4 linked regions of the Canis lupus familiaris genome follow. The protein of the gene in region 2 interacts with the protein of the main gene of each other region in a biochemical or structural test. Links are inferred from orthologs where the notes say so. Each region holds a gene or a part of one and is shown on either strand. Other genes may lie near its edges. The genes, in order: GABARAP, KBTBD7, GABARAPL1 and GABARAPL2.

What was found.
Region 1: the proteins of KBTBD7 (region 2) and GABARAP form a complex in vitro, tested with the Homo sapiens proteins (2 studies listed by BioGRID and IntAct, with this or other methods). The link is inferred for Canis lupus familiaris from reciprocal best matches to the Homo sapiens genes KBTBD7 and GABARAP.
Region 3: the proteins of KBTBD7 (region 2) and GABARAPL1 form a complex in vitro, tested with the Homo sapiens proteins (2 studies listed by BioGRID and IntAct, with this or other methods). The link is inferred for Canis lupus familiaris from reciprocal best matches to the Homo sapiens genes KBTBD7 and GABARAPL1.
Region 4: the proteins of KBTBD7 (region 2) and GABARAPL2 form a complex in vitro, tested with the Homo sapiens proteins (2 studies listed by BioGRID and IntAct, with this or other methods). The link is inferred for Canis lupus familiaris from reciprocal best matches to the Homo sapiens genes KBTBD7 and GABARAPL2.

The regions. Positions count from the first base shown.
Region 1 is NC_049226.1:32,411,961-32,419,833, reverse strand, and holds GABARAP (gamma-aminobutyric acid receptor-associated protein), read left to right. Parts: upstream 1-2,945; 5' UTR 2,946-3,064; coding exon 3,065-3,154; intron 3,155-3,713; coding exon 3,714-3,792; intron 3,793-3,936; coding exon 3,937-4,055; intron 4,056-4,553; coding exon 4,554-4,619; 3' UTR 4,620-5,043; downstream 5,044-7,873. Other genes in the region: CTDNEP1 (CTD nuclear envelope phosphatase 1), read left to right, coding at 25-141, 360-471, 916-1,000, 1,287-1,347; PHF23 (PHD finger protein 23), read left to right, coding at 6,113-6,146, 7,743-7,774. UniProt on the Homo sapiens protein: Ubiquitin-like modifier that plays a role in intracellular transport of GABA(A) receptors and its interaction with the cytoskeleton.
Region 2 is NC_049243.1:9,370,202-9,378,219, forward strand, and holds KBTBD7 (kelch repeat and BTB domain-containing protein 7), read left to right. Parts: upstream 1-3,796; 5' UTR 3,797-4,079; coding exon 4,080-6,119; 3' UTR 6,120-7,827; downstream 7,828-8,018. UniProt on the Homo sapiens protein: As part of the CUL3(KBTBD6/7) E3 ubiquitin ligase complex functions as a substrate adapter for the RAC1 guanine exchange factor (GEF) TIAM1, mediating its 'Lys-48' ubiquitination and proteasomal degradation.
Region 3 is NC_049248.1:10,356,874-10,363,841, forward strand, and holds the end of GABARAPL1 (gamma-aminobutyric acid receptor-associated protein-like 1), read left to right. Parts: intron 1-1,547; coding exon 1,548-1,626; intron 1,627-2,684; coding exon 2,685-2,803; intron 2,804-3,688; coding exon 3,689-3,754; 3' UTR 3,755-5,023; downstream 5,024-6,968. UniProt on the Homo sapiens protein: Ubiquitin-like modifier that increases cell-surface expression of kappa-type opioid receptor through facilitating anterograde intracellular trafficking of the receptor. Involved in formation of autophagosomal vacuoles.
Region 4 is NC_049226.1:75,813,777-75,822,015, reverse strand, and holds the start of GABARAPL2 (gamma-aminobutyric acid receptor-associated protein-like 2), read left to right. Parts: upstream 1-4,145; 5' UTR 4,146-4,760; coding exon 4,761-4,794; intron 4,795-5,118; coding exon 5,119-5,174; intron 5,175-6,307; coding exon 6,308-6,480; intron 6,481-8,239. UniProt on the Homo sapiens protein: Ubiquitin-like modifier involved in intra-Golgi traffic. Modulates intra-Golgi transport through coupling between NSF activity and SNAREs activation. It first stimulates the ATPase activity of NSF which in turn stimulates the association with GOSR1.

The sequences.
Region 1 (7,873 bases), on a different chromosome or scaffold from region 2:
CTCCCTCTTCCCGCTCAATCTCAGGTGAGTCAGTGGTATGAGCTGGTGGTGTTCACAGCAAGCATGGAGATTTATGGCTCTGCTGTGGCAGATAAACTGGACAACAGCAGGAGTATTCTCAAGAGGAGATACTACAGACAGGTGAGGGGCTGAGAGGAAGCTTGGCAGGGAGTCCACCAGGGAAGGATCTGAGTTTGAGGCAGCTGCCCTGGAATGGGATCCTGGAGGGAGGGTGGCAGGGGGAGGCATATACCACCTAACCCCCTTGAGGGAGTGGGCTGGCCGAGGGCGAGGTTGGGACTGGACAGCAGTCACAGGACCGAGTCTCCTCCTGATGCCCAGCTCGCCCTTCCCTCCAGCACTGCACTTTGGAACTGGGCAGCTACATCAAAGACCTCTCTGTGGTCCACAGTGACCTCTCCAGCATCGTCATCCTGGATAACTCCCCAGGGGCCTATAGGAGCCACCCAGGTATGCAAGAAGGCGGCCAGTCTGGCAGGACCGGCAAGTGGTTCTGAGGCAGCATTCTGAAAGCCAGGAGCCTGGGATTCCTGGTTTACTGTAGGTCAGGATGCAAGAGGTTTCTTTTACATGAGATGTCCCTCTTCCCTGATATACACCTTTCATAGGTCATGTTGCTCAGACCAAATTTGCTTCAGGTGAGACACAGGGGCAATGAGTTTGCCTAGAAGCCAGCCTCATGCTAATGTGAGATATGGTGATTTAAAATTAGTTTTATTTTGGAGGATGAATTAGGAAGGTTTCATTTAGGCTGCTGAGTTTGGGGGGGCGGGGGAGGAACCTATTTGAAAGCAATGATCCCCATTCCCAAATAAAAAGAAAAAAAAAAAAAAAGAAAAATCAGCTTGTCTCGAACTGTTTTTTCTCACGTGCATTTATTTTCATGTGTCCTAGACAATGCCATCCCCATCAAATCCTGGTTCAGTGACCCCAGCGACACCGCCCTTCTCAATCTGCTTCCAATGCTGGATGCCCTCAGGTAAGGGAAGCTAGACACTTAGGTTTCTGAGGAAAGGAGGTGGGGGATCCCAAGAGGGAATAAATATATGTCCTGTTTGACTTATTTATCTCTTTTCCCTTAAGAACTTAGCATTTGAACCCAGGCCTTCTTACAGTAAAGCTCATCACTTTTAGCCAGTGGGTTTTGGGCAAACTGGACCTCAGTTTCATGTGAGAAAGGTGATCATTTTGCCCCACATCTCCAATGAGGCTGCCTAACGCTAGTGTTTTGAGGACTCTACCAATGCAAGTTATTGTCGTCCCAGGTTCACCGCTGATGTTCGTTCTGTGCTGAGCCGAAACCTTCACCAACATCGGCTCTGGTGACAGCTGCTCCCCCTCCACCTGAGTTGGGGTGGGGGGGAAAGGGAGGGTGAGCACTCGGGATGCCGTCTGATGCCCTGTCCCATGGTGAGGACTGTCTGGGCAGGGTCTGCCCCTCCCGCCCCTCTCTGCCCTGGGAGCCCTGCACTCCACACGGAGTCTGGATGGACACATGGGTCAGACTCTGCAGCAGCCTCACTCTAACTTCGTGTTCGCACTCTCTGGAAACCCCAGACTGGGACATAAGCGGAGGCCCAGGAGAGTCCAAACTGTCTGGTGGAGACAGGACTGGCCAGAATGACACACAGACATTCGGTAATCCGGGAGGCTCAAAGAAAAGCCAAGCCAGCTTTGTTGTGATTTGATTTTTTAAAAACTCTTGTACAAAACTGATCTAATTCTTCACTCCAAGGGCTGGGCTGTGGGTGGGGAACTGGGATTTTGGGCCACTGGATTTTCCCCAAACTTGTCCCCCTGCCCCCAACCTTTCCCTCTACATTCCCTTCTTCCTATACTCTCAGACCTGTAACCGGCGCGCTCTCTTTTTCTTTCCTCTCTTTTAAACCATGCATTATAACTTTGAAACCAAAGCTGCCCTAGGTCCTTCTCTCAGGGTTGGGAAATGAGGGGAGGAGTCTTTGTTCACATCCACCCTGGCTCCCCAAAGCGGAGGCCGAGGCCCGAGGGTCAGGGAGCAGCGGTGCTGGCTCCGGAGGAAGGAGCAGGGAACGAGTCGACCTTTGGTGGGAAGGGTCTCGGCCGCAGGATGAGTGCCCTGGGTGGGGTCGGAGGGACAGCCGTGGGTCCCGGCGAACCAGAGCTGCAGGGCAGGAGGAAGCCGCGGTCCGTGAGCAGGCGCACCGACGTGGACGCAGAGAGTGCCCCGGCCCTCGGCCCCGCCCCCTCCCCTCCCGCCGGCGCCCCTCCCCCCGCGGCCGGCTCTACTTCCCGCGGCCGCCACGTGACGCTCCGCCCTTCTCTGAGATCACATGACTTTTCGTTGCTGCCAGTGCCGAAGGTGTTCCTCCGCGCTGACGTAGTCCCTACCTTTCGGACCTCCTCTCCGGTCCCCATTGGTCCACTCCTCCTGGGAACCTAGGCGTTCTGTGCGTTTCTGCGAATACCTGTTTCGTGTCTGCCCTCCTTTCTTCCCGGAGATCCAGCTTCTCCGTTTGGGTACTACTTTGTTTTGGAGTCAGCAGCCGCCTTCGGCGTACCGACGCGTTTCGTGAATAGCTGTCCTTAAAATTCTCTGCTTCCCCCCCTCCCCCTTTTCACCTTGTATCCGAAAAGACTTTTCGGAGCACCAAGCCTCAGAATACAATCGGCAGTTCCTAGCCCTTGTGGTGCCCAGCTCGGTGGGGCACGGCGGAATGTGGGTTTTCGGTTATTTTCGACCATAGCCCAGACCAACCACCTTGGCTACGTCGGCTGCGTAGCCCTCAAGCTGATTCCAAAGCGATTACGCAGGCAGCGTGAGGGGGGCGGTCAGTAGGTGGTGCTACGCCGGCGGCGTGAGGGCCGTTACGCTAGTAGCGTAACCCAGCGGGCGGGGCGGCCCCGACGGCCGGGGGCGGGGTTGGTGAATAGGGAAGTGGCGCAAGTCCCGGGATCGCTCCGCTGAGTCCGCCCGCGCGTCGCCGCCGTCGCCGCCGCCCCCCGTCCCGGCCCCCCCCCGGGTTCCCTCAGCCCAGCCCGGTCCAGCCCGGTTCCCGGGAGGATGAAGTTCGTGTATAAAGAAGAGCATCCGTTCGAGAAACGCCGCTCTGAGGGCGAGAAGATCAGAAAGAAATACCCGGACCGGGTTCCGGTGAGAACCATAGCCGGGGCCGCGGACGCGGGGCGCTGGCTCTGACGCCACAGCCCGGCTTGGGGTCCGGCGAGGCAGCGAGGGCATCGGGCTGCTGGCGGGGGTGGCCGGGGACCGGGCCAGGGGCTATCGTGTCCGGGAGCGGAGGTTGGAAGGAGCGGGGCGGCGAGGGAGCTGGGGGTGGGGGGCCGCGGCTGGCCGAGGGAGACGTGTGGAGTGCTGGGGAGGCTGCAGGGAGTTTGACAGTCGGGGCTTCCCATGGCCACCTCCCAGCTGGCCGGCTCGTCGAGGCCGACGCTGTCGTCGGCTCGCACGAGCCATGCCTGCCTAAGATCCTCGTTTATTATGACGCCCAGCCGGGGGATTCAGGATATCGAGGTGAGCCTGACGCTGCGGGGTCAGGATGCCTCTGCTTGAGGCTGCACCGCGTGTTCCCAGACAAAGAAAAACGAGTTGGATGGCTTGGGGTGCTAGCAGTTTTGTTTCTGGAGTTCTCGACGGGGTGACTGTGGGGCTGTCCCCCCTCGATGCTTCCTAATTTCCGTCTTTCTTTTTATAGGTGATAGTAGAAAAGGCTCCCAAAGCTCGGATAGGAGACCTGGACAAAAAAAAGTATCTGGTGCCTTCTGATCTCACAGGTGGGAACCTGACCCAGGACCCAGGTTTGCTGCCTGTGCGTGGGGGTGCAGTGTCGGTGGGAAAATGCTGCCTCCCCGTAGTGACTGCTCTTCTGAGGCCTTTTTTGATCCCTGTGACTTTATCGTATCTTGTCTCTTTGGCAGTTGGTCAGTTCTACTTCTTGATCCGGAAGCGAATTCATCTCCGAGCTGAGGATGCCTTGTTTTTCTTTGTCAACAACGTCATTCCACCCACCAGTGCCACAATGGGTCAGCTATACCAGGTATGGTGACTGGGAAGGAGTCAGGGGCTCCGCAGAGGTGTTGGAAGAGATTTTCAGGTCAGCAGTTCTTGGACTAGCTGGCTGGCTCTCAGTTTTACGTGTGACCTCAAAATTTTGAGGGTAGTCCCAGGTTGAGGGCTTGGATAAAGGTATTGGGAATAGAGGTGAGAACTACAGCAGTGCTTTGGATCCACCCTCTTGTCCACTTTCCCCACCATCCCAAGGCAGCAGATTTTGTGATCATGGTATCTCCCCTGCCAGGTAAGTATAAGGCAGCAGATTTTGGAACAGTTTGAGATCTTTTTGCCCAGGACTGCTGCCAGCGGTAATCTTGTTGGCTGCTAAGGCCTGGAGCAAATGAGTGAGTATGAGTCAGGGCACTAGCGTTTGGGGGTCTTCAGAAAGAACGGGCTTTCCAAAAAACGTGTCTGGGCAGTGGGTGGTTCACGTGCCCACAGCCCCGACGTCTGAGTGCCATAGTTTTCTGCCTCCATCCAGGAACACCACGAAGAAGACTTCTTTCTATACATCGCCTACAGTGATGAAAGCGTCTACGGTCTGTGAAGCTGCTGCCCCTGACGTGGGGGGGGGTCCGGTTCTACAAAGACAGAGGTGGCCCCCATCCTCGACCTACTCCTTCTTTGGGCTCATCCCTCACCTCCCTTTGTTGGGACCTGCACTTCCTAATGTTTGAGGCTCTCCTCCAGCCCTTCTCAGCAGGAGGGCTCATGGGGGAGGTGGCTTCTTGGACCTCTCCTTTCTCCCCTTCCTCTTCGACCTTTCCCACTCTGCTCTAGACTTCTTGATTGTCCGTCTCTGTCACATCCGGTGATTGTTTTGGTTTCTGTTCCCTAACTGCCCAAGGGGCTCAGAACCCCAACATTCCCTTCCTCTCATTACCTTCATTTTTGGGGGTAGAGGGAAGGGACTGAAATTGTTGGGGGGAAGGCAGGAGGCACATCAATAAAGAGGAAACCACCAAGCTGAACTGGATTTTACTTTGTGTTGCTTCCCGCCCCTTTTTTCCTAGTTGTCCTCTGGTGGGGAGAGTGGAGGTTGGAGGGGCAGTAATCCTACATTCTGGTTTATTCTGTTGATATTGGGTTACTGCTTGCGCAAAAGTATTTTTGTTGTGATCGAATACTCCCAAGTATCAGGTCATGAAACTATACTTTTATATACTTGTGTATTGGGTCCCAATGTAAAAAATACAGTGGCTTTTGTTTTTTTACTTTGGGTTCCTGGGGAGAAAGTAAGTATCCACTTTAGATAAATGCACCCAAGTTTGTTACAGCTTTTGGATGAAAGAAGAGATTTTCGTGCGTGGGAGCCAGTCAGAGGACTCTGTCCTGGGTTGCATCTCACTTGACCAGACTTGGTGCCAGTGGGTGGAATTCAAGGGAGCGAGAAGGGAGCCATTATCATCAGGAGAACTTCATCCCCCAGCAAGCATTTCTCCGCCTGGCCGGAAGTGGGGCGGTCCCCCGGGGGAGAAAGCAGCCGCAGAATGAGGCAGTATGGTGGCCGAGAGTTCTAATCCCTTCTTTTCCTTCTTTCTTAGTCCCGCCCAGCCTACATTTCCCAGGAGCCTGCGCGCGCTCTTCCGCTCTGCCCTCTGCTCCCAATCTCCCCGCCACTCCCCGGGGGAGGGGAGCGGTTTAGTGCGCCTGCGCTGTTCCTTGGCTTGCTGGGAAGTGAAGTTCCAGAGGCCTATGCGATCCCTTTTCCGCTGGCCCCGGACGGACTACAAGCCCCATGATGCATTGTGCGTCGGCGCCCGCCGAAGGGAGGGGGTAGAGAGGAGGGAGGAGGGAGGAGAGAGGAGGAGGAGGAGGGAGCAGGCGGCCGGCGGCGCGGGGGGAGGGGGCCCGGTCCGGGAGTGCGGGAGGCAGGGGTAGAGGGAGGTGGCGGCAGCGGCTAGCGGACTCGAGTCATAACCGGGCCGAGGCAGACACCTCTGTGGAGAGAGGCAGTAGGAGCACCGAGCACCGGAGGCGGCACCGGGATCCCCGGCTTAAGGGGAGGGGGGCGCCGGACCGGGAGGAGGGGAGGGGGCGATGCTGGAAGCCATGGCGGAGCCCAGTCCCGAAGGTGAGCTCTCGACCGGCACGGAGCGCTGAGCCGGTGGGGGGGGGGGGGGCGGGCGAGGAATCAATTGGCAAACTTGGAGGTCGAGCCCCGAAGCCCGGCGGGGGAGCGCGGGGAGGGGGTCGAGGGCCTGCCCCTGGAGCTGGGAGAGCGACGAGTTGAGAGACCTTGGTGAAAGAGGAGTGGGAGACCGGGCTGGGGGTAGTTGGAGATGAGACACCGAGAATGTGTGTGTTGGGGGGGTGGGGAGTGGGAGCCGGAGCTCCGGGGGTTAGGGGCCGAGAGGGCCTCCAGCACGTTGGGGCCTTGAGGCCGGGAGGTTGGGGGGGATCGGGAGCCCGAGAGTTGTTGAGGAGGGAGGATGTAGAGGAGGACTGAGTGAGGAGCCCGGTAGTTGGCCGAGGTGGGGGAGTTTGTGGCGGCGGTGCCGGAGCTCCGGGTAGTTGCCGCTGGAGGTGGCCGGGTGATTGTTGGAGGGCCGGGCAGAGAGTTGTGGGGAGAAGAGGGGGTCTGGGTATTGTCTGCGCTAGGGAGACCTGGACAGGGCGGGTAGTTGTGGGGACAGAACGCCGGGGAGCGAGGAGAGCCGGGTAGTTGTAGGGGCGGTGGGGCGGTGGGGCGGGGTGCGGGGGGGGGTGTTCAGACCGGCGAGTTGGGGGGGGGTGTTGGTCGGCGAGGGCTGGAGCCTGAGAGTTGCGGAGGGTGAGGGGGGCAGCGGCGGCGGCAGCGGCGGGGGTTGCCGTGGAGGGAGAGAGTAGCGGGGGGGGGGAGTGGGCGGCCAGAGTTTAGGGGTCCGCAGCCTAGTCATTTGGTGGTGAGTACGGGGGCGGAGGGGGGGCGGCGGCCGGAGGGCTAGGAACTGGGCCCGGGGGCCCGGCGGGGAGCCCGAGGAGCTCGAGACGGGGAGGGGCCAAAGCCCCGGATGGGGGCGGAGGGACGGCGAAATTGTGGGGAGCGCGGTCGGAGGGGGCAGGTGGGGCCGTCCGAGCCAGAGCTCTCCGGTCCGTCCCGGCCGCAGAGTGGCGTTGGATGTGTGTGCCTGTGTGTGTTGGGAGGGGGGTGGGGGTGAGGGGCGCGCCGGGCCTCGTGCTCGGGCAGAAGGGGCCGGAGGGCGGGGAGCGGTTCGGCGTGGTCATCCTGGACCCTGGGGGCCGGCGGGCTGCGTGTGCGGGCTCCGAGGGCCCCGGGCGGCGGATCGCAGCCGGGCGGGAGCGCGAGGCGCTGGGCGCGTGGGAAGGGCAGGGCAGGCGGCGGCCGGGGCTCGGTCCGGGGAGCGGTATGGCGGGGTGGGGCGCCAAGAGATCGAGTAGACTGTGGAGTCGAGAGAAACCGTGAGTTGGGGGGGCGGGGCGCCAGGCCTCCGGTGGGGGGAAGGGGAGCGCTATAGCGAGGCCGGGGAGGGCGCCGCGCCCTGACTCCGCCCCTCGCAGGGCGGAAGGGGGAGCAGGGGCGGGTCCAGCACAGCTGGGGACCTGCCGGCCTGGCGGGGGGTACCGGAGGCGAGAGGGGGTTCGGTTCGCTTGGGACTTTCAAGATTTAGAGCTGGGGCTTCGCACGGACTCTGCTGGTGCCTTGACTCAGCTTTTATTGCTTTCCCAGATCCACCTCCGACCCTGAAGCCAGAAACTCAGGTGAGCTTTCCTTTACCTTTGCAGGCCGGTATTACTGTCGGTGGCCCTCCCTCCCTCTTCCTCCTCCTCCTCCTCCTGCTGGTTCTAGATCGCCTACCA
Region 2 (8,018 bases):
ATCGTTTATAGTAAATTAAATGCACAGATCTTAAAGGACAGTTGAGTTGGCAATTCCATACACCCGTGTAACCACCAACCCAAGCAAGAGGAGAACATTTGCATCACCCCCTGAAACTTCCCTTGTGTTGCTTTCCAGTTGATCCAGCAATCTGCCAAAACCCCTTCTCCCAACAGTGGCAGCCTCTAATATGATTTTTTTTCTTCTAAAATGATTTATATTCACCATAACTTATTTTCACTATTCTGGAACTTCACCCAAATGGTCATAAGCTGTGTACTCATATATCTCTGGCTTCTTTAGCTCAACATAAAAAGTTTTGAAACCTCATATTATGGCATATATCAAAGGTGGTTTCTTTTTTTATTTCTGAGTAGTATTCCACTGTGTGAATAATACCACAATTAATCTTTTTCATTCCCCTATTGATGCACATGTGGATTGTTTCCAATTCTGGCTATGACAGATAAAGTTACTATGAACATCTTGCACAAGTCTTTTGTGGACATATATTTTAATTTCCCTTGGGCAAATAAATGCTTAGGAGAAATTACTGAAAGTTTAACATCCAAAGAAACTACCAGTTTTCTAAAATGGGTATACCAAATTATTATTCCTATATTAGTATATGAAGGTTCCAAAGGCTCCCTATCATCACTAACATTTAGTGTTTTTGACCTTTTTAAAATTTAGCCATTGTTGTGGGTATGCAGTGTATTCTCATCAACTTAGTTTGCATTCATCTAAGGATGAATGACATTGAACAGCTTTCTCATGTTTTTATTGAATATTTGGTTTAAGTATTACAAATATTTTTTAGGTTTTATTTATTTAATCTCTACAGCCAAAGTGAGACTCAAACTCACAACTCCAAGATTAATAAGAGTCGCATGCTCTTCCTACTGAAGCAGCCGGGTGCCCTTATAAATTAAAAAAAATAATTGTGTGTGTGTGTATGTGTATTGCAGACTGTGGCTTGTCTTTTTTTCACTGCCTTTTGAAAGGCAAAAGCTTGTAGTTTTAAGTTCATTTTATAGTTTTTTGTTTTATGATTAGTGTTTTTTGTATCCTAAGATCCAGAAGAAAGAAGCAGAGATAGTCTAGGTTTTCTTTTAGAAACGTTATAGTTTTCATTTCTTTGTTTAATATTGAGATCCATTTAGAATTAATTTTGTGTGTGTGGTATAAGCTAAGAGTCAAAATTATTTTTTTTCTTTTTTCTTTTTTTACATTGTGAACTGGTTGTTCGACACCATTTGTCGAACAGAGCTTCCTCTCCACAATGAATTGCAGTGATAACAATGCTGGGTTTCTAAAATTTTAAGTTCAGTTCCTCAGCTGAACTAGCCACATTTGAAGTACTTAAGAGCTACCTGTGGCTTCTGGCTACCTCCTCCTCAATCAGCACAAACATAAAATGTTCACAGGATCACAAATTTCTGCGGCAGCACTGCTCAAGACCTTAGGGCACTGCGTACTAAATACTTTTGGATTGTGTAAAAGGTAATCTAAACCAACTAACAAAGGGCAGATATAAGGAAGTTAAAAAATCACTGAAGTGATATGCAGTTCCTAAGGTAGTCAAATTCAAAAAGACAGAAAGTAGAATGGTGGTTACTAGGGAGTTGGGGGAAGGGGGGAAAGGAGAGTTACTGTGAATGGGTACAAAGCTTCAGTTCTGCAAGATGAAAAGAGCTCTGGAGATAGGTGGTGGTGATGGTTGCAAAACAAGGTGAATGTACTTAATGCCAGAGAATCTAAACAACTGTCTTAAAGAATTGTTTAAAATAGTAACTGTATATGTTGCCAGCATTAAAAACAAAAAAATTATTGTTTTTTTTCTCCCAGCTGTTTTAGTGCAATACTGATTGAAAGCAATCAGTAATGGTCCAATTCTCTCAAGTATATCTGAAGGATACCCAACAAAGGTACAGAGGAGATATTAGAGCTCAGTGCCCTGCTTAATAATGTTTCTCTACCCTGGAGTATTTCCAGTAGAAGGTCTTCAGTGAATAGGAAAGGAGAGCAGAACAATTTGAGTTACTCCCCTGCCCTGAGTTCTCTACCCACCAACCTACTACTAAAGATTTCACGAAATTATGCTAACGCATGACAAGCCAGTGGCAAGAGCAACATGATTTTTGAAGTAAAAGTTCCCTTAACACAAAACTCAATCTCTAAGCACTTGATATTGATGATTTAACGAAGAATGTGGATCAGTACATATAGAGAACACTTTTGTAAAGCATAGATTGAACTATATTAATTCAAAATACTGGGCAAATAAAATCTTTAATAAAAAGGGGGGGGGGGTCCAGATCCCTGGGTGGCTAGGTTGTTTAGCGCCTGCCTTTGGCCCAGGGCGCCTACTGGAGTCCCAGGATCGAGTCCCGCGTCGGGCTCCCTGCATGGAGCCTGCTTCTCCCTCTGCCTGTGTCTCTATGTCTATCATGAATAAATAAATAAAATCTTAAAAAAAAAATACTGGATAACCCAGGGGGCTCAGCAGTTTAGCGCTGCCTTTGGCCCAGGGCCTGATCCTGGAGACCCAGGATTGAGTCCTACATTGGGCTTCCTGCATGGAGCCTGCTTCTCTCTGTGTGTGTGTGTCTCATGAATAAATAAAATCTTAAAAAAAAAAACAAAAACAAAAAAAAAAAAACTGGGGCATGCATGAATACAGAGCTCTGAGGTCTGTTTGTTTAAATCTTTTAATCTACAACTCCCGTTTTTATCTCCTTGATAAAGATAACTACATAATCTTAGGCTGATTTGTGGAGAGGAAGGGAAACGAGCAGTATTAGACCAAAACATTCCTGCTAAAAGGTTACGAAAGGGCTTCTGGGTGGCTCAGCCGGTTAGGCGCCTGCCCGGGGTCCTGGGATCCGGCCCTATCAGCAGGGAGCCTGTAATCTCCCTCCCCCTCTGCCTGTCACTCCCCTGCTTGTGCATTCTCTCTCTAATAAGTAAATAAAAATCTTAATTTAAAAAAAAAGAAAAAAAAGCTTATGAAAGTAATCCTGCTCCCCCTGCGTAAATATTGATTTGGTGAGAGGTCAGCCCAGCTATGCATGTGCCTGAGCTGCCTGTTAGAGGCCTGAGCTGTATGTCAGAGGCCTGAGCCGCACGTCGGAGGCCTGAGCCGCACGTCGGAGGCCACCTCTCAACGCTGTTCGCCAGGACCTCATCCTTGTCCACGACACCCTAACGAACCTGTGGATCTCATTTAGTTCTGAAAAGATGGTGGTAGCCTTCAGAAGAACCCTTCAAAAGAAGCAACAGTAAAATTAAGATTCCTCACACAAATCGCTCACGGCTTCGCACGCGGGCACATTTTTAAAAACGCATTGGGAGACGCCACCAGTGGCTGAATCTGTATATTCCAGGCACTTGCAAGCATGTGATTAATCAGCAGGTATTCGCTGAAGCATCCTGGGACCTGCGCAAATCCACCTCGCTCCCACTCTCACATAATCCTATGAAAACTCGTATCCCCCGCTTTACAAAGAGGGGAAAGTTCTCAGAGAGAAGACCAATACCAAAACGGAGATTTTTTTTTTTTTTAAATAAAAAAGAACATCAAAGCCAAAGCTCTAAAACCAACAAACCCAGATTAACGCTTTTTCGAATTCTGTCAGCTAAAAGTCCGCCCGCCCGGAGAAACCTCGCGATATTCCTCGAACTACCACTCCCAGCGTGCACAGCGGCTCCGGCCCGCCCGCCGATCCCCTGGAGTCTGGAGGGGCCCCGGCATGCCTCGGGGCGCGAAAGGCAGCCTGGGAGCCGTAGTTCCGCTGGACGCCTACCGGTATTGCCAGCGCGGCAGTGGCGGCTCTCTCGGTTCCGTCCAGCCGGGTTCTGTAAGGCGAGCTGAGGCGGAGAAAAGGGCGCGGAACTGGAAGCGGGTGAGTCAGGCGCTGGCTACGCGATAAAGGGAGGCGGCACCGCGGCGCGGGGCTGAGTTGGGTAAGTGCGGCCCCTGCAGTCTCTTCAGGGAGAAGGCGAGGAGAGGGCGAGGAGGAGCCCGCGCCCGGTCCGTGCACCCGTTCTCGCCCTCGTACCCCGCCGCCATCTCCACCATGCAGTCCCGGGAAGAGGCTCCGCGCCCCCGCCGCCTGGCCAGTCCCCGCGGCGGCAGGCGGCCCAAGAGGATCTCCAAGCCCTCGGTCTCGGCTTTCTTCACGGGCCCGGAGGAGCTGAAGGACGCGGCTCACTCCGCAGCCCTCCTGGCGCAGCTCAAGTCCTTCTACGACGCGCGGCTGCTGTGCGACGTGACCATCGAGGTGGTGACGCCCGGCAGCGGGCCCGGCACCGGCCGCCTCTTCCCCTGCAACCGGAACGTGCTGGCGGCCGCGTGTCCCTACTTCAAGAGCATGTTCACGGGCGGCATGTACGAGAGCCACCAGGCGAACGTGACCATGCACGACGTGGACGCCGAGTCCTTCGAGGTGCTGGTCGACTACTGCTACACGGGCCGCGTGTCGCTGAGCGAGGCCAACGTGCAGCGCCTGTACGCGGCCTCCGACATGCTGCAGCTCGAGTACGTGCGGGAGGCCTGCGCCTCCTTCCTGGCCCGCCGCCTCGACCTGGCCAACTGCACCGCCATCCTCAAGTTCGCCGACGCCTTCGACCATCATAAGCTGCGATCCCAGGCCCAGTCCTTCATAGCCCACAATTTCAGGCAGCTCAGCCGGATGGGCTCAGTAAGGGAGGAGAGCCTGGCGGATCTGAGCTTGGCCCAGCTGCTGTCCATCCTGCGCCTGGATAGTCTAGACATCGAGAGCGAGCGGACCGTGTGTCACGTGGCCGTGCAGTGGCTGGAGGCGGCTCCCAAGGAGCGCGGACCCAGCGCTGCGGAAGTCTTCAAGTGTGTCCGCTGGACACACTTCAGAGAAGAGGATCAGGATTACCTGGAGGGGCTGCTGACCAAGCCCATTGTGAAAAAGTACTGTCTGGACCTTATCGAGGGGGCCCTGCAGATGCGCTATGGTGACAAGCTGTGCAAGGCTCTGGTGCCCAAACCAGATAGCAGCAGCAGCTGTGTTGTGCCCACAGCAGAAAACCCACCCCAGAGGCTGGGTATGTGTGCCAAGGAGATGGTGATCTTCTTTGGACATCCCCGAGATCCCTTTCTGTGCTACGACCCATACTCAGGGGACATTTACACCATGCCATCCCCTTTAACCAGCTTGGCTCACACCAAGACTGTCACTTCCTCAGCTGTCTGCGTCTCTCCAGACCATGACATCTACCTGGCCGCGCAGCCCAGGAAGGACCTCTGGGTGTACAAGCCAGCCCAGAATAGTTGGCAGCAGCTGGCCGACCGCCTGCTGTGCCGGGAGGGCATGGATGTGGCCTACCTCAATGGCTACATCTACATTTTGGGTGGGCGAGACCCCATTACCGGTGTTAAACTGAAGGAAGTGGAGTGCTACAGTGTCCAGAGAAACCAGTGGGCACTGGTGGCTCCTGTACCCCATTCCTTCTATTCGTTTGAACTAATAGTGGTTCAGAACTATCTTTATGCTGTGAACAGTAAGCGCATGCTCTACTATGACCCGGGCCACAATACATGGCTGAACTGTGCTTCTCTTAAACGTAGTGACTTTCAGGAAGCCTGTGTCTTCAATGATGAGATCTACTGTATCTGCGACATCCCGGTCATGAAGGTCTACAACCCAGCCAGGGGAGAATGGAGGCGGATTAGTAATATCCCCTTGGACTCAGAGACCCACAACTACCAGATTGTCAATCATGGCCAAAAGTTGCTCCTCATTACTTCTACCACCCCTCAGTGGAAAAAAAACCGGGTGACTGTTTATGAATACGATACTAGGGAAGACCAGTGGATTAATATAGGTACCATGTTAGGTCTTTTGCAGTTTGACTCTGGCTTTATTTGCCTCTGTGCTCGTGTTTATCCTTCCTGCCTTGAACCTGGACAGAGTTTTATCACTGAGGAAGATGATGCACGGAGTGAGTCTAGTACTGAATGGGACTTAGATGGATTCAGTGAGCTGGACTCGGAGTCAGGAAGTTCAAGTTCTTTTTCCGATGATGAAGTCTGGGTGCAGGTGGCACCTCAGGGAAATGCACAGGATCATCAGGGTTCTTTGTAAATATTTTGAAGCACTAAGATGTTTCTACTTCTATGGAATGTATCTTTAAAAGATATCCCTTCCTTTTCATGAAAAAAAAAATGTTGATTAGGACTGCAGATTTGGTTTAGAAAGGGTAACATTTGAATTACTAATGTAATGTTACAAAGTTAAACAGTCCATGAAATCAACCTATATGATAATTTATTATGCTAAAAGTCAAGATTAAAATATGCAAAAACAAACTATGTAACTGATTAGAATGCTTGGTGGTTTCTTGGTTGTTCGAGTATTTGTTGCACCAGTGGATTGTTTTGGTTAGTTTACACTGTTTATATTTTGATTATCTACGTTTGTCTTCTGTTAACGTTTTAATTCAACTTAGTGCCACAAGGAATTTAACTTTTTAATTTTTATAGTAGAAAATTGAACTAGAAATTGTTGGTAGGGTTTTGAAGGTTGTATTTTCTTTTAGAATAATGAAAGTAGTAGATTTCCCAAATTTTGAACTAGCCAGTTTCTAGTATTATAAGTTACTATCGTTTCTATCGTTTGTTAAATTTGGTGTGGTTTTCTCCCCTTCTGCAAAGAAAAAAAATTGGTTATATATATATATATATATATATAAATATATACATCCATCCAAATAGGGATTTCATTTTGATAATGTGCAGAATGGTCTTAAGAGCTCACAGAAAGTAAAAAAAAAAAAAAAAAAAAAAAAAATCAAGACTCCACTGCTTTAAAAGAAATTTCACTTTCAATTTTGGAATATAACATGTATTTCCTGAGTGCGGCCATTTTTCTGTCTTAAAAAACATTCATTCTAGTAGTGTCATCAATTATTTAAACACCCTTCTAAACCAAAAGAAAAAAGGTAACTTGCTTTGTAAGATCATATTTTTCATCTATACCTGATACACGCTTCATTGAATCAAAAGGAACGATCCTTTTTTTCACTGGACATGTGATTGAGTAATGTAAATGTTTATCCATTGGTCATGACTAGTCTTAAACAGTGTATATGCTTTCGTAAAATATTTTTGGCTGTATAGTTTCGGTTTTCATCTTAGAGGATTCTTCAGCAGGAAGTGATATATTCTTTACTGCTTTTGTGAGGTAATACTGGTTTTGAAAATATGTTTAAGCTGAAAAGAGTATTTTATTGAGGTCAGTCACTGTCCATCAACTATAAAATTAAATGCCAGCAGAGACCTTTAAAACTTCAGGCTGTGTATGGAACTGTTTTGTGTAGCATTGAAATGTTCTGTTGAGTTTTGTAAGTCACTGTATATGATTATCATCCCGAAGGTATTTTTGTATTAAAAGTTGACATCTAAAGAACATAACTGGATGATGCCATTTGGGGCCAATAGGGAAAGTTTATTTCCTGTAAAATATTTCCCTAGCAATGGTATACATGGTTATTTTATTAGGGTATTTGTATCTGTTCTGTATTTCTCTGTGAACCATGCTCCGGGCTTTGTGGGGTTTTGTTTTTGTTTTTGTTTGTCTTTTTGTTTGTTTTTGTGTCACTATAAAGTAAGGGAAAGTCCAGAACTAGAGACTGAGTCACACAAAACTGATACCGTTAAATACTGAGAAACAGAGATACTTACCTTTTTAAGGGTCTGTTAATACATATGATTGTCACAAAACACATCCATGATAAATGGTGTACATATATATATATATAGATACTTACAGGTTATAAATTTTTCTAAACTGACTTAGAATCCTCATTTTGCATCTTTGTTCAAAACGTTAATTCCTCTTACATATGTCTATTCTCTAGTGACCGAACACTAACACTAACATTTCTTATACCATGTCAGAGTACTGAGGACTGTGCCCCAGGATCGGGAACTGAATCTTGAATTTAAAAAAGAGAGAGAGAAAATAAATAAATAAATAAATAAA
Region 3 (6,968 bases), on a different chromosome or scaffold from region 2:
GTTCAGGATTCTTTTTCTCCAGAAACACAAAATAATGTTTTTTACTCCTTTTATGTGTTCCCTTTCATTTAAAAGCTTCAAGCCTCCAAGTCTCTCCTCTTAAATCGTTCCTTTTATTAAGATAATTCTTCATAATTTACAAAACATTTTCACATAAAATTTTATGGATTACTCAAAGTTACTGTAGGAGTACCATGACTGTAGAAGATATATTGGAAAGTTTCATCTTCCTATTACTCACCGGAATGCTGTAGTTCAAAGAAGTTAAATGACCTGTTGAAGATCACAAAGTTCCCTGGGATACTTGTCTAGTGTTACTTCTACTTCTGTAACTCTTCTAGATTTTCTGTGTGTTTGATCAAGAATGATTGTATTTTTTTTTTTTTTTAAGATTTTATTTATTCCTGAGAGGGGCAGAGACATAGGCAGAGGGAGAAACAGGCTTCCCACAGGGAGCCTGATGCAGGCCTTGATCCCAGGACCCTGGGATCATGAACCAAAGGTAGATGCTCAACCACTGGGTCACCCTGGTGCCCTACAAAAGATTTTAAATATTTATAATTTCAGTTAAGTTACATAAATTATAAATACTAAGTATATTTTTATAATTATTTCTTAAAGATATGTTGTTTAAATTAATATTTGAAACTTTATGCATAAAGTCTTTAATTTTTATATATCTTCTTTTTTTCTTTTTTCTTTTCATTAGAGAAATATATGATCCTTATAAAATTTGATCATAGAGGGGATCCCTGGGTGGCGCAGCGGTTTGGCGCCTGCCTTTGGCCCAGGGCGCGATCCTGGAGACCCGGGATCGAATCCCACGTCGGGCTCCCGGTGCATGGAGCCTGCTTCCCCCTCTGCCTGTGTCTCTGCCTCTGTCTCTCATTCTCTCTCTGTGTCTTCCATGAATAAATAAATAAAAATCTTTAAAAAAAAATTTGATCATAGACATATTTAATGTAGACATTGAAAATCCTTATAACACCAACCAATATTGATAAATAGGTTATCATAAGTGACTTCACGTTACAGGATCTCATACTCTAAGTACTATTCAGTACTTTCTTTGACTTAATAAGACAGTGCCTTGAACATTTTTTTGCAGTCACTCTAGAGAAGTTCGACAAAGTACAAAATGTAAATCCCATTTTATCCATAACTTTAATTAATGCCATTCATTAGAAAGAATAAAACCAGTAGGTACGTAGGAGCATCTGAAGAAATGCACAGTCCTTTTGATGCTCTCAGTAAATACCAGGAAGTATAGATCCTATACCTGGGAGGTAACTTGTAATTATTTAAATCAAGGTTCTCTTTACTTTTCATCTCATGCCCTCCATTTTCTTCTTATTGCAGTAATAGAACTACAGCCTTACTGATGAAGATCATGTACCCTTTGGTTTTGTAAGATAAAAGGAAATGAGAAATGGGAACATTTTATTGGGTCTAGACAAACATACTTCAAATATGGCAGTTGTAGGATGTGGAAGGAAAAATACTAGATTAGATTCTGTATTTTTCATTCTCATTCTCCTCCCGCCCAGGTGATTGTGGAGAAGGCTCCTAAAGCCAGGGTGCCCGATCTGGACAAGAGGAAGTACTTGGTGCCCTCTGACCTCACTGGTAATGCTCTTTCCCTCTCTAAATCCTCCCTCTATGGCAGAGCCTCGTTGGTCCCTCCTGTGTGCATGAGCTTGGGGGATTGAGACGAAGTAGAGTTGATGTGGGTAGGATTCTTCAGAGACTTGGGGGACTCAAACATAGCCAGATGATCTTCCCAATTGCCAGTTCCCTTACACATTTTCCATCACAATATCTTGTGTGGTTTAGACACGGTAGAATCCACATCGTTGCAAAGCAATGACCAGATGCCCACATTTTTAAACCACTTAGAATCTGCTTTGTTATTGTGATACCAGTTTATTCCAAAAGGAAAGTCAGAGGGAGGATCACATTTTAGATTTTCAGCTGAATACTTTGTCCTCTCAAGCTATGGTTTTTGATAATATGTCTTGTAGATACTGTTTGCGATTACAGATAATATATTAATTCTTCACCTTAGTGATCTTTAATGGAATAACCAGTGGTTATACAAATCACTGGAAAGGTTTTGTAGATGTGTTTGCCTTAGAGTTGTTAGATTTGAATGTCAGCCTTCTAGAACTTCTCAGTATGCTTGGTAGAAGGTACAGCATTGAACCCCACTCATTGCCTGGACTTTGGGATGGGCGACCATGCTGAGATTACTGGAGTCCAGTAGACCTCTCCACATCACTGGTTTGTCATAAGGTGGGAATGAGGATGGAAGTGCATTTCAGATCCCCTTGGGAGAATGATAAGAAGAGTATTTTGGTCTCGATGTACATAGGATTCCCTCAAAGTCATCAGATTTTGAGTGGATAAGCTAACATTAAGTTTAAAACTGAGTAAAGAGGGAAAGGATTGGAGAATAAGCTTCTTAGTGGCCTGTCTGGGAATATGGAGGCTTATTAGAGTTGCATTTTCTATTTCTACAGCTATAGGACTGTATTTGGTTCTGCTGAGATTTTCTCTAAAGCTGGCACTTTAAGCGGTGGAGCAGGTGCAGCAGATTTTTTTTTCTTTTCTGGGCCTTCCCCTTCTCATAATCCCTTGTCTTCCCTAATTGCCTTCCTTTTCTAAAACCTTCTTCCTTTATCCAGTTGGCCAGTTCTACTTCTTAATCCGGAAGAGGATCCACCTGAGGCCTGAGGATGCCTTATTCTTCTTTGTCAACAACACCATCCCTCCCACTAGTGCTACCATGGGCCAGCTGTATGAGGTAAGTGTTCTGGTCACGACAATACTGTGTAGTCTCGTGTTCTCTAGCCTTTGTTCTGGAGTCTGTTGATAACACACCTGGGAAGTGGGGCAGGAGGTGTTACTTCCCTGTATCCACTTACACACAGCAGTGTAAGGCTCTGAGAGATTAAATGTCACTTGTCCTTTAGGGATTGAGCTGACTACTAGATTCATTCTCTTTGAGCTTTCAGTTTTGCCTTATTCTAGGGTTCTAATCTTGGATCATCTTTATTGAAACAGTAAGAAATTGTTTCTGATTGCAAATTCCAAATAAAATGAAATTTAAAATTATAAGGCAAAGCCTTTAAATTGATTCATTTGTCTTAACAGATAAACTCAGTTGGAGAGAATAATTTGCTGATTTCATTTGGTTTAATTGGTAAGCTGTCAGAATCTAATGAGAAGACTATTGGAAAGGACTCGGTCATGCTCTGTCACCCAGTTTTGTGGCTATATTCTTCCTTAAAGGATTTTACATTGTACTGCCTTCTTATTGTGCCCTGTGAGTTAGTGAATTGTGTAAACTTTCTAACAATCTCTCAATCTTATTTTTATTCCATAGCATATATTTCCTGTTAGTGTATATTCTGATATATATATATATAGTATATATATAGTATCTGTGTTCCCTTTTGCTAGAATGAGCTTTTTAAAGGGTCATGTTGTTATCCCTGATGTTTGTACGTATCGATACTCTTCTTGAAGATTTTTTGTGAACTCAGAAGTTGAATTCCAGTCACTTCTGTGTATTCTTATTTTTTGGTCAGTGGAGGCTAATGATGCCTTGCAAAACCTGCTTACCTTGTGTGAGGCTCAGAATCCTGAAGGTAATGAGTATGATGTTTCCTCTTGTTTCCTCCCTCAGGACAACCATGAGGAAGACTATTTTCTGTATGTGGCCTACAGTGACGAGAGTGTCTATGGGAAGTGAGTGGTGGAAGCCCAGCAGATGGGAGCACCTGGACTCGGGGGTAGGGGGAGGGGTGTGTGTGGGACTTGGGGAAAGAGAGGGAGGGCTCCCACCGTGGAGGAGACAGAAGGGGAAGACATCTGGAAACACTACACCGCACACACCGTCATCATATTTTCACATGCTCAATTGATAATTTTTGCTGCTTCCTCGGCCCAGGGAGAAAGCATGTCAGGACAGAGGTGTTGGATTGGCTTTGATAGAGGAATGAAGATGATTTAATGTCACAGCATTTCTGTGAATTAATTTCTGTGTGACTTCACAGAAGAGGCAGGAGGTGGGCAAGATGGGGCCAGAGATGATTGCAGACCACCAGTAACTTCCTGCTCTCCTTCCTCTTCGGGCAGAGATTCTATTTTTGACATTTGCAGAAGACAGGTAGGGAAAGGGATGAGGATGTCTTAGGACCACGAGTAGTAGATCATTCCTAGGGACCAAAAGAGACCCATTGTAATTAAAGCGTTGTGACCTTGACCTAGCTCCACACCTCCCCATCCCTGTCATAATTCCACTTACAGACACCACAGCACCACCTAGTGGTCCGGATAGCCATTAGGCAGATATTTAGATGGAGCGTTCTCACCACTGGAATACAGGGGCCAGGCATGAAGGATAGTTTGGCTATTAAGATCGTTTTGGTAGCATTAAACTGGAATTGACTATGTTGAGCATCTCTGTCTAACCTGCTCTCTCTCTGGTGCCCCTTATCCCACACCTCAGTGAGGACAACCATTTCCCATTATGGGCTAAAACCTCCTTCAGCATTTCCCAAACTTTGCTCCATGTGTAGGGACAGAGATGTCCTATGTATGGAAGGGGGGCAGGTATGAGGTAAGACAGCTTGTCTATGCCTCTGCCTCAGCCAGGATTCTTGTTCCCTTGTTCCCGCCTCTTCAGTCCCAGGCACACAGATCTGCTAAGTGATGGCCAGCTGCCTCCTGACTTAGGTTTCCATGTAGTGCAGCTGCTAGTTAGACAAGTGTGAGGGAATGACTTAATACTAAATGGGGATTCTATGGATTCTGATTATTTTCACTTTTGGGGTTATGTGGGTGGGGGCGGGGAGCAGGAATCGCACTCAGACGTGACATTTCAGTTCATCTCTGCTAATGAAAAGGGTCCTTCCTGTGGGAGAAATCTGTGTCCGTTTTGTCAGCTGCAGATTCTTGTGTAATGAAGTTTATGCTGTCAGGCCAAGGAAATAAAATAATTGCATACCTTGAAAACCAACCATGAGTTCAGAAATGTTGCTTTTATTGACTGTACTGTAGAATAGGTGGTGTGTGGACTCTGAGCAGAAAACTGAGTGAGGGTGGCTGTTAGAAATGGATGCTCACGTATGTCAGATGTATAGAGGTTTAAGTAAACCTCTTTACTTACCACGAGTTGTTATTCAAAGGTGAGCGTGGTGGGGTAGCATGCCTGGTGTGTTGGTGATACGTGTGTGATTTTCTGCTCCACAGATAAATGCTTTGTCATTGGTTTGTGTGTTTCTCAAAGCTGAAGATGGAACACTGCCTGGGTGAGACTATAAGGGGTAAGGCGGGGGTGTAGTTATTAAAAATGCAGATGTCTGGGTTTCATCCTACATTTAGCTGAGTCATTCTCAGCGTAGGTGTCTGTGGTGTTAACCAGCTCCTCCTGATTCTGCTGCATGCCGAAGGTGGAGAGGCATTGCTCTCAATACCTGGTTTTGTTTTGAGTGCCAACCAAACCTATTCTGTCTGCCACATTGTGGTTGGTGTGAGGCCACCATCTCCCAGAGCAGCAACTGGCACATACGTAAGGCTCCTGAGGTCAGAACAAGCTTGGTGTCTTCTGACCATATGAGAGTTTTTCATTCATTCATTTGGAAGCAAAATGTGGATGGGCAGTGGGGGTACAGGTTATAAGATGATAAAAAACCAAAGTAGTGGAAACTCCTTTTTTGACCTTAAAAGTCATGTCTAATTCTCTTTAATCTCTTGCAGCTGTGTGTCCAAGTGGAATCTACCTTTGTAGACTTTTATGGACTATATGACAGTCACCAGACAGACAGAAACAGGTAGTTACAAAAGATGGCAAGATTTCACCCACCACCAAACCATGTCCAGTGTGTACTGGTTGAGAAAGTTAAGTCAGGATTCAGAGGAAAGGAAGAAGTCCAAGCCCGGCAAACACAACATGCAGAGAATTATGGGAGACTCTAAGGAATTTGGATTTTGACAAAAAAGACTTAAAAATGGACACCTGTCACTACTGACAGAAAAACATTGGGGCATTGTCTCTGCCAAAATCAAATGGAAGCTAATATTTGAATTAAGATACAAACTATATTATGAAACTAAAAGACTTAACCCACTAGCGAGGAATGAGATTCAGTGAATGTTTAAAAGCAAACAAATACATGGCAGATCCCAGATCTCTATACAAATTGGAAACCGTCCCTGTAGTGAGTGCAGGAGACCCGGGCCATTGCTAAATCAAAGTAGTAGTTAGTTTGGAGGTTCTCCCTGAGGCAGCCTTTTATGCCAGTCCTCCTTATCTCTGGATATTCCTGGTAGGAAAAATTGCTCCTTGCGTGGGACATTTCATGCCATTTTAGACCAGCCCTCTTCTAATTTTATAGGTCCATAAAGCTGAATAACAGCTAAGTGCAGAGCCAGACCAGATACTTGAGTGCTGTGTCTGATGCTCTTTTGTGAACCATATCTCTCAAGTGTGTCTTCTGGTTTCCTGCTAGGGAAGCTTTAAAGCTGCTCTGTGTCATCAGGCAGTTGTGTCAGTCTTGAACTCTATAAACACTTTTGGAAACGCCTTTTCATTAACCTTGGCCTCATGTCCCAGGTAAGATCGACTTACCTGATACTTTCTTCTGGAGACCAAGGTTGAATGATGTGTCAAAAAGCCCATTCCCTTGGAGTCCAGTATGCCTCAGTAGCAGAGATGAGTGAGTCCTTTGCTATATTTTGGTAGAAAGATCTCAAATACTAGCATGTCATATGAGCCTAGATCTGTTTCCCTAGGATAGCCTTGAATCATTCCTATTGTCCTGATTGATACATTAATGGTTTCTTATTTCACTGTCACAAGTTTCCCAGTGGACAAAACATATGGTGCTACTCCTTATACTAAGTAAAAAAAAAAGAAAAAAAAAAAAAGAAAGAAAGAAAAAGAAAGAAAGAAAGAAAAAAAG
Region 4 (8,239 bases), on a different chromosome or scaffold from region 2:
ACCCCCCCCCCCAAAGATGATAGTGGCTTATCACTTAATTGAATGCTTTCACCTCTAACCAGTATTTTGAACATGGCAGAAGGAATTTTTTTTTTTTTTTTTTTTGTACCCTGGTCAACAGCCAAGTTCTTCAGGAGGCCCTAAAAGGATCACAATGCAGCGCCAAAAGGTAGTGTGAGGTTTGTGGTCAGAGCGGAATCCAGCAGGCCATGCCTCTATTTTGAAGGCAACCTAGAAATAGCTTTTAGATAATGCAGCTGAGATCCTAACTACATAGATGCTTGAGGGGGCCAAGAGCTGATCCTTCGGAAAAACTATCCAGGGTCCTCACCGCGGTTCAATCGACAATATGAGCCATAAGATTTTTTTTTAATTAAAGATTTTATTTATTTATTTGAGAAACAGAGGCAGAGACACAGGCAGAGGGAGAAGCAGGCTCCATGCCGGAAGGCCGACGTGGGACTCGATCCCGGGTCTCCAGGATCATGCCCAGGGCTGAAGGCAGCGCTAAACCACTGGGCCACCAGGGCTGCCCCAGCCATAAGATTTTGACAGATCTGGTTCAGTACTACTCATCTTTGCTTTAAAGCTTCCCTAGGGTGGCAACACAGCTCTTAAATATAGCAATTGTTAGGCTTAAATCTATATTATGATTCTGACGTTATACTGTATCAATGATTTAAGTGAATGACTTTCATTTATTCAAGTAACAAAACCATATAATTTAATTCATATGTGGGACTTCAGAAAACAAATGAACAAAGGGAAAAAAAGAGACAAACCAGAAAACAGACTATATTATTATATAGAACAAACCGATGGTTACCAGAAGGCAGGTAGATGGGAGGATCGGTGAAATAGGTGAAGGGCAATGGGGGGCTGACACCAAACACTTATATAAGAGAGCGCTTATCTTGATGAGCCCTGAGTAATATATGGAATTGTTGGATCACTATGTTGTATGCCTGAAACTAATACACCACTGTATGTTAACTACACTGAACTAAAAATTTAAGAATAACCATTAAAATAAGATTCTGGAATCGATGGTTCTAGTGTTACCTCCTGAGTGCAGCTCTACACCAAGGAAAGAGGCATTTGCCTTCAAAGTTCCTTCTTTCAGTAGAAGGAAACACATACTGTGGCTAGTGTCAGCTTAGTCACTGCTGAGAACAAGGTGGTGATTCCTAAGAATTTAGGTGTGTGAAGTGCCTCCCCTGAGATGCCATGAGCTTTGCAAAAGTATTTAATAATAATGGATACTAATACTTACTCTTTGCTTCCATTATTTGAAGAAGCTAATCTTTGTGGTCTTATTTTGATTCTTTAAGAGGGAATTTTATTTTTATTTTTATTTTTTATTTTTTTTTGGAATTTTAGTTTTTAAAAATGCTAAAGGTCTGTGTATATTGTGTCATTGTCATATATTCATAACTGAGAACTGACTTCTCTGTTTCCATTTCCATAATTTTTTCATGTTTCATAAAATTTACTTTTTAAAAAAGATTTATTTATTTTAGAGAGAAGGAGAGCACGTGAGTGGCGGGGAGAGGCAGAGAGGGGGAAATAAGCAGACTCCCCTGCTAAGTGCGGAGCCTGACCCCAGGATGCTGAGCTCATGACCTGAGCCGGAACCGAGAGTCAGACACTATACCTACTGAGCCTCTTAGGTGCACCTTCATAGAATTTACTTTTAAGGACAAAGAGAGTTGTTCTCTTAAAACTACACATTTTGATCACGTTCTACTCCTTTCTAAAAGCTCCCATTCAGGGTATCTCGAATCAGTTCAGAACGCCTGAATGTTCACATCAAGGCTTTCCAGCATTTGTCTATATTGCTTCCCAGTTCCCTCTTCTAACCCCAGTCTTTGTGTCTATTAAGCGAAGTTTGTCCTTTGAAAAATGTACACTTCTCTCTGACACATAAGATTCACATTCTCTGTTTAGTCTTTTTTGATAAGCCTCGCTTGGTTTGGTGTCAGCCCCCATTGCCCTAACCATCCTTCAGCATTCAAGTGCAGGACCTCTCCAACATCTGAAATTTATTCTGCATATTTTATAAGTCTGTTAATATATAACTGCATACTTTAATTATCCTATTTTTTCTTCTGAGTCATCTTTTCAACTAGCCACCCCCTCAAGGAAGGCATTCGGTATCTTTAGAACATTCAATAAGCTAGTATAATGACCCCATAGGTAAAGAAGGTGATGCATATCATCAGGGCAGATCAGAGAATCCAATTAGAATGGTGAACTGGAAAAAGACATCAAAGAAGTAAGTAAAGATAGAAGACAGAAAAACACTGCACCTTACGAAGACCATCAGGTTACACTCCTGTAAGGGGTGACTTATGGGATCTTTCCACTTTGATTCCTCAGTGTTTAATTCTATTTGCAAAATAGGTATTTTCAGTTTTTTCATTCACTCTCTAGCTGATCTCATCAGTTCAATAGCTTTAAATACTTCTCTCTTGAATTTGAGACTCATAGATCTATTCACTTACTCCATATATCTTCATTTGGATGTGTCCCTTGGGCATCTCAGACTCAATAGAGCCAAAACCAAACCTTGATCCCCACCTCCCCAACTGGCTCCACTCTATTTCAGTAAATGGCAATTCCATCCTTCTAAAAACTCTGACTTTGACTTGTCCCTCACACTTCATATTCAATCTATCATCAAATTTTGTTGGTTGGCTCTACCTTCAAAATATATCTAGAATATAATTGCTTCCCACCATCCCCACAGACATTATCTTGGTCTAGGCCAACATCATCTTCCACTTGGATTATCACAATAGCTTCCTAATTGTTTTCCTGACTTCCATTCTCAAACCCTTAGAGTCTGTCTACAAAAAAGCTAGCCTGCTCAGTTCAAAAGGAAAGCCATACCATGTCACACCTCTGCTTAAAATCCTCTACTTCTCATTTCATTCTAAATAACATCCAAAGTTCTTCACATGAAATTCAAAACTCAACAGCTGGGCAGCCCGGGTGGCTCAGCGGTTTAATACTGCCTTCAGCCCAGGGCCTGATCCTGGAGACCTGGGATCGAGTCCCACGTCGGGCTCCCTGTGTGGAGCCTGCGACTCCCTCTGCCTGTGTTTCTGCCTCTCTCTCTCTCTGTCTCTCATGAATAAATAAATAATCTTAAAAAAAAAAAAAACTCAACAGCTTTGTTACACATATCTTTGATCTCATCTTCTAACATACCCCCCCTTGCTAATTCAGCTCCAGCCACAAGGGGTTCCTTCCTGTCCCTGATTATGCCAACCACTTTACCTGATTAGCATTACCCCACTGTCACTCGTCACCAACCCTGCTTTATTTTCTAAACAGCGCCTACCATTACCTGACATTTGTTGTCTTATCCCACTAGAAACTCCTTGACAGCTGAATGTTCTGTTCACTGCTTTTCCTCAACACCTAGAACAGTGCTCCTGTATGCAGCAGTAATAATTTCTAGGTATGAAATTCAAAGGGCTTTTCACTTCATTAAAAACAAGCAAGCAAACAAAAGCCTATTTTGGTTGCTCAGACAATCTTAAAATAACCAAAATGCTTCTAGAATGAAGCTAGATTCCACAGCATCCATCAGGAATTACAACTATGGGAAATGGTGAACGACAATATTCACACATGCAATCCTTTCAGATGCATCAGAATCATAAGCACATGACAAGGATCATGTGCCCAATTAAATGAATATTCTTGTTACATATTCACCAGCTAGTAAACAGATGTTGACCCAGAGCAGACTGTCCTGATGACTCTGCTAGGAAGAAAGAGGTGACATCACTGGAGAACTCAAGGCATATGCTCAGGCAGGTGACACACGTACGCACAGCCTAGACTGTGATTGCTGAACTCCATGCTGACTGCCAAAGAAATTTGTCTCATGACTCTCAGGGGAATTCTCTCAGCCAGACAGTCACCTCTAAGTCCTCTGTAGTTAAGGTTAAGGGGTCTCTTTGTGATCAGTGAGATGTTATGCTCCTCAAATGTCTATTTGTGATACATGTGCTTACATGTTTAGTCAAACGTTTATTTATTCATGAAAAAAGGAAGGAAATAGGGTTTTGTTTAAATTCCATTTCTAGGTCCAAGGCCACCTGTTTTGGCTGTCTCCAATACTGAACCCCCGGCTTGTCATCAGAACCTCTCCCCACACAGGCCCCTCAAATTAGCCACACCCTCCAACCTGTTACCACTCCAAACAATACTCCCCAAACTGTCAATGCGCTAAACAGATCTCCCCCACCCCGCCATTATCGACCATCAGAGACCCCTCGTCTGTCACTCATGCTCCAAAATTCCCGACACCGAGACTTCCCTCATGAAAAGCCCTCTGAGCGCCCTATCCTATCAGCCAGACCCCCAAACTCCTCTTCCCGTTACCAACGTCCGCCGAGACCCGGTTCCTGTTAGCAGTTCCCGACAGCATCCCCTTCCCCGTCACCGAAACCCCTCCAGGACTGCCGGGTGGCCAACGTCATCAGCCCCACTTCCTCGTAGCCTCGCCTCGCCCCGCCCCGCCTCGCCGCTCGCCCCGCCCCTTTGAATGTGGCCACGCCCCCTGGCGCGGCGTCCCGGCGAACTGCGCCGGAAGCCCCGCCCCCGGCCGGTTGCTAGGCTCCGGCAGCCGGAAGTCCCGCCTGCCGTGTAGTCGCCGCCGCCGCTGCTGCCGTCGTTGTTGTTGTGGTTGGTTCGCTGAGCTCCGCGGCTCCGAGAGCCGGCTGCATCCCTTCCCCGCCGTCGCCATGAAGTGGATGTTCAAGGAGGACCACTCGCTGGGTAAGGCTCCGTCAGAGGCCGGGTGGTGGGGGTCGCGGCGGCGGGTGGGCCCCCTCCCCCACTCGGGCCGCCCTGGGCTGGGCCGGGCGGGGCGGATGCCGAGCTGTGGCCTCGGGTCGCGGAGGCCCCGGCGCCCCCGCCGGCTGCCCACGGACGCTGTGCCGCCTTCTGCCCTCCTGCCGGGAGGCGGGGGCCGAGGACCGAGGCCGCCGAGACGCCGTAACAAGGACCCGGGCGTGCGCAGGTCGCTGGGGGAGGTGGGTCGGGGGCGCGGGAAGCGGCGGACGAGCAGGCGCGACCGGCAGCCCCGTCTGTTTCCCACAGAACACAGATGCGTGGAATCCGCGAAGATCCGAGCGAAATACCCCGACCGCGTTCCGGTGAGTGCACTCCCCGCCCCCTCACCTCGTCGTCACCCCGTCGTCTAGGACTCGCGATAGGGCCCCGGGCCACTCAGCAGTTGATAAGTTGAGGTTCCAGTCCCAGTTATAGGAGCAGACAAGCCAGACGGGGCTCGGGGCCTTGGGGGCCGTGGCGTGAGGGGCTTGAGCAGGTGCTGTTCAGGGTGCCTCAGTGCTGAATCTCCCGATCTAGGCCAGCGAGCTGTCTGCAGCCTCTGGGCTCCCTCGCCAATTATGTAAGGAACGATGTTCTAGGACAGGGCAACAGGTCACTGCCACTTTTGGGAACACTGGTGGAGGGAGACTGTCACTTTGGTCTTAGAAGTGGTACTTTAGTCTCAGGACACTCATCTTTAACTTTGAGCCTCTGTCTTTACTTGATTTCTAGCTCCCTTTCCTCACTCTGACCCTGTCATCCTTTGCTGACCAAAAAAAATCTGAGAAGCCTCTGAGAACTCCCTTCTTTCGTGGTTCCTCCTTAATCAGTAATAAAGATCCTGTTTCTTCCGTGGTAGGGGTAAAGTTTCTATAATTCTTACTGATTTTTAGAGGACATCCGTGTCTGTTATTGTAGCTCTTTGTTTGAACAAGCAAAACTCTGAGGAGGGGTTAGGAGGGACACATTTGAAACCTAGTTCAGGGAGAAGCAACAGGCCAAATGAGGAGCTTGGTTTACTCATTCCCATTAGTCCATCCATTCCTCTCCCCTTTGTTCCTTGGGATCTTACTTCCTCTGTAGTGTGAAGGCAGATTCATTCTGGAGTCTTGGAGTAACTGGCTGTAGATGAAACCAGGTATCTCAGGTCTGCCCAGACAAAATGTCGAAGAGCTTTGTAGTAAGGGCGTGTGTTTCTCTTATGCTCGCTGAGATGCAGGATGATAAACATAATTGACCACAGAAAAGCACTTTCTGTTTCCATATCATACATTTATGTCAGTTCTTAACCTCCAGAGTTAAGAGTTTGTGGTTTATTAAATCAGGGGCATATTTTCCAGTGTTGTGCAGTTTCCCACCCACCTCCTTGCCCACATAGTATTCATCAGCTCCCTGGCAATGCAAGGCCAGAGCCTCACTTTAGAAACCCAGTCCTGATCTCTCTTTGCTTTCCCAGGTGATTGTGGAAAAAGTCTCAGGCTCTCAGATTGTCGACATTGACAAACGGAAGTATTTGGTTCCATCTGACATCACTGTGGCTCAGTTCATGTGGATCATCAGGAAAAGGATCCAGCTTCCTTCTGAAAAGGCAATCTTCCTGTTTGTGGATAAGACAGTCCCACAGTCCAGGTGAGAAGTGTTTACTAGCATTGGCCACCTGCTTGGCTGCTTACAGAACTCTAAACTTTGGAGGTGAGAAAACTCTTAGAGGTCCTGACTGGAAATCTGGATGTTGTGCTCCCTGACATGAGGAGCTCAAGGAAAATAAGAAAGGGCTACAGTATCTGGGAATATACTTTGGGTTAAGAAAATAGAACAAGGTTGGACTTAAAAAAAAAAAAAAATCTAGCCTCAGACCCTGATGAATACTTTAAAACAGTTCAGGATTTACTTAGGCTTAAGCCATCACTAGAACCTAAATGAGCCTAAAATTAGGTTTTCTTTAAATGACCCATGAAATAAGTCCTGTCGTTCTCCACTAGGGGCTTGTGGGCCCTGCTGAGGCTCAGCTTCAGTTAATCATCCTCCTGCTTGCTCTCCAAACTTAGTTCTGTGCCACTGCGAGTGTGTAGCTGTCTGATCCTCAGGTATGCTGGAATGGCTGCTGTCCAGCAAAAGGCTCTGAGGTCTCTTTACAGACTTACACCCCCCCTCGTAGCACCTGCTCCGACTGTCAGAGTAACCGCCCCCCTTGCTCTAGCTGTTGTGCTGCCTAGAAGCATTCTTTGGCATAACTTGGGGCCCGAGTCTTCTGGGGCATTATAATTCTCTTCTTCTGTGTAGTTGACAGCCCAGCTTTAGTCCCTGGTGGAAAAAAGAAAATGGACTGGCTCCTTCAAAATTCCTGGTCAGTCCTTTGCCATTACTGGTTGAGTATTAGCCCTTGAGCCAGATGCTAGTCCCTCTCCCCCGAGTGTGAGTTCCTGGCTACATCTCATCTTGGAGACTCCAAGTAAGTCTCATTGGTTACTCCCCTAAAGGTAGTACTTCTGCAAGCTTAGGCTTTCAGAATCCCTGGAACTATCCCAGTTTGGCCAAAATATGTTCCCTTTGAAAATCCTTGAAAGCTCCAGAAAAGACCTAAGCCAAAATCTAGTCCCTTTCCTATGACAGATAGCTCTGGCTATTTTTTTATCTGATTTACTTTCCTAATCTCCACCACCTCCATTTCCTGTGTTTGGCAGAGAGGTTGGGGAAAAATGAAAGGTTCTTCAGTAAGGTCAGTGTCCAGCCTGAGGAGATCCGCCTGGCCTGCCTGCTAGGTGCTGTTGGTCTCCTATAGCTGTTGTTCAGGAAGCTGTGGTGTTGGCAGAGGCGGTCTTGACACCTGGTGGGGCTCTTCCAGCCTTCCTTCCCCGACCTCCAGGCAGCATGGTGCTGGGTTCATCAGGTTAGGAAGCCCTGGGCATCTGTAGTCGTAACTCAGCTTCTCTTAAGGTGGTGGAGAGGTGAATCTTCAGTCATCACACTGCTGATCACTTGACAGCAGCACACACAGAACTGCCACAGGGTCTCCTGCTAACTCCATCTCCTGCAGCTTCTGCAGAGTCTGGGTAACTCTGTGTTTCCTCCTTCCTGGCAGTGGCTTCTTAGGGAAGGAAGCAGGTGTCTAAGACCTGTGGCTTTGAATTTATTTGATCAATTCTTCTGATTTTTCTTTTCCTTTTCCTTTTTTTTTTTTTTTTTTAAGATTTTATTGATTTATTTATGAGAGACACAGAGAAGGCGGAGACATAGGCAGAGGGAGGAGCAGGCTCCTCGCAGGGAGCCCGATGTGGGACTCCATCCCGGAACTCTGGGATCATGGCCTCAGCCGAAGGCAGACGCTCAACCACTGAGCCACCTAGGCATCCCACTTTTGATGTTTCTTAAAGGAGATGTGCAGGCT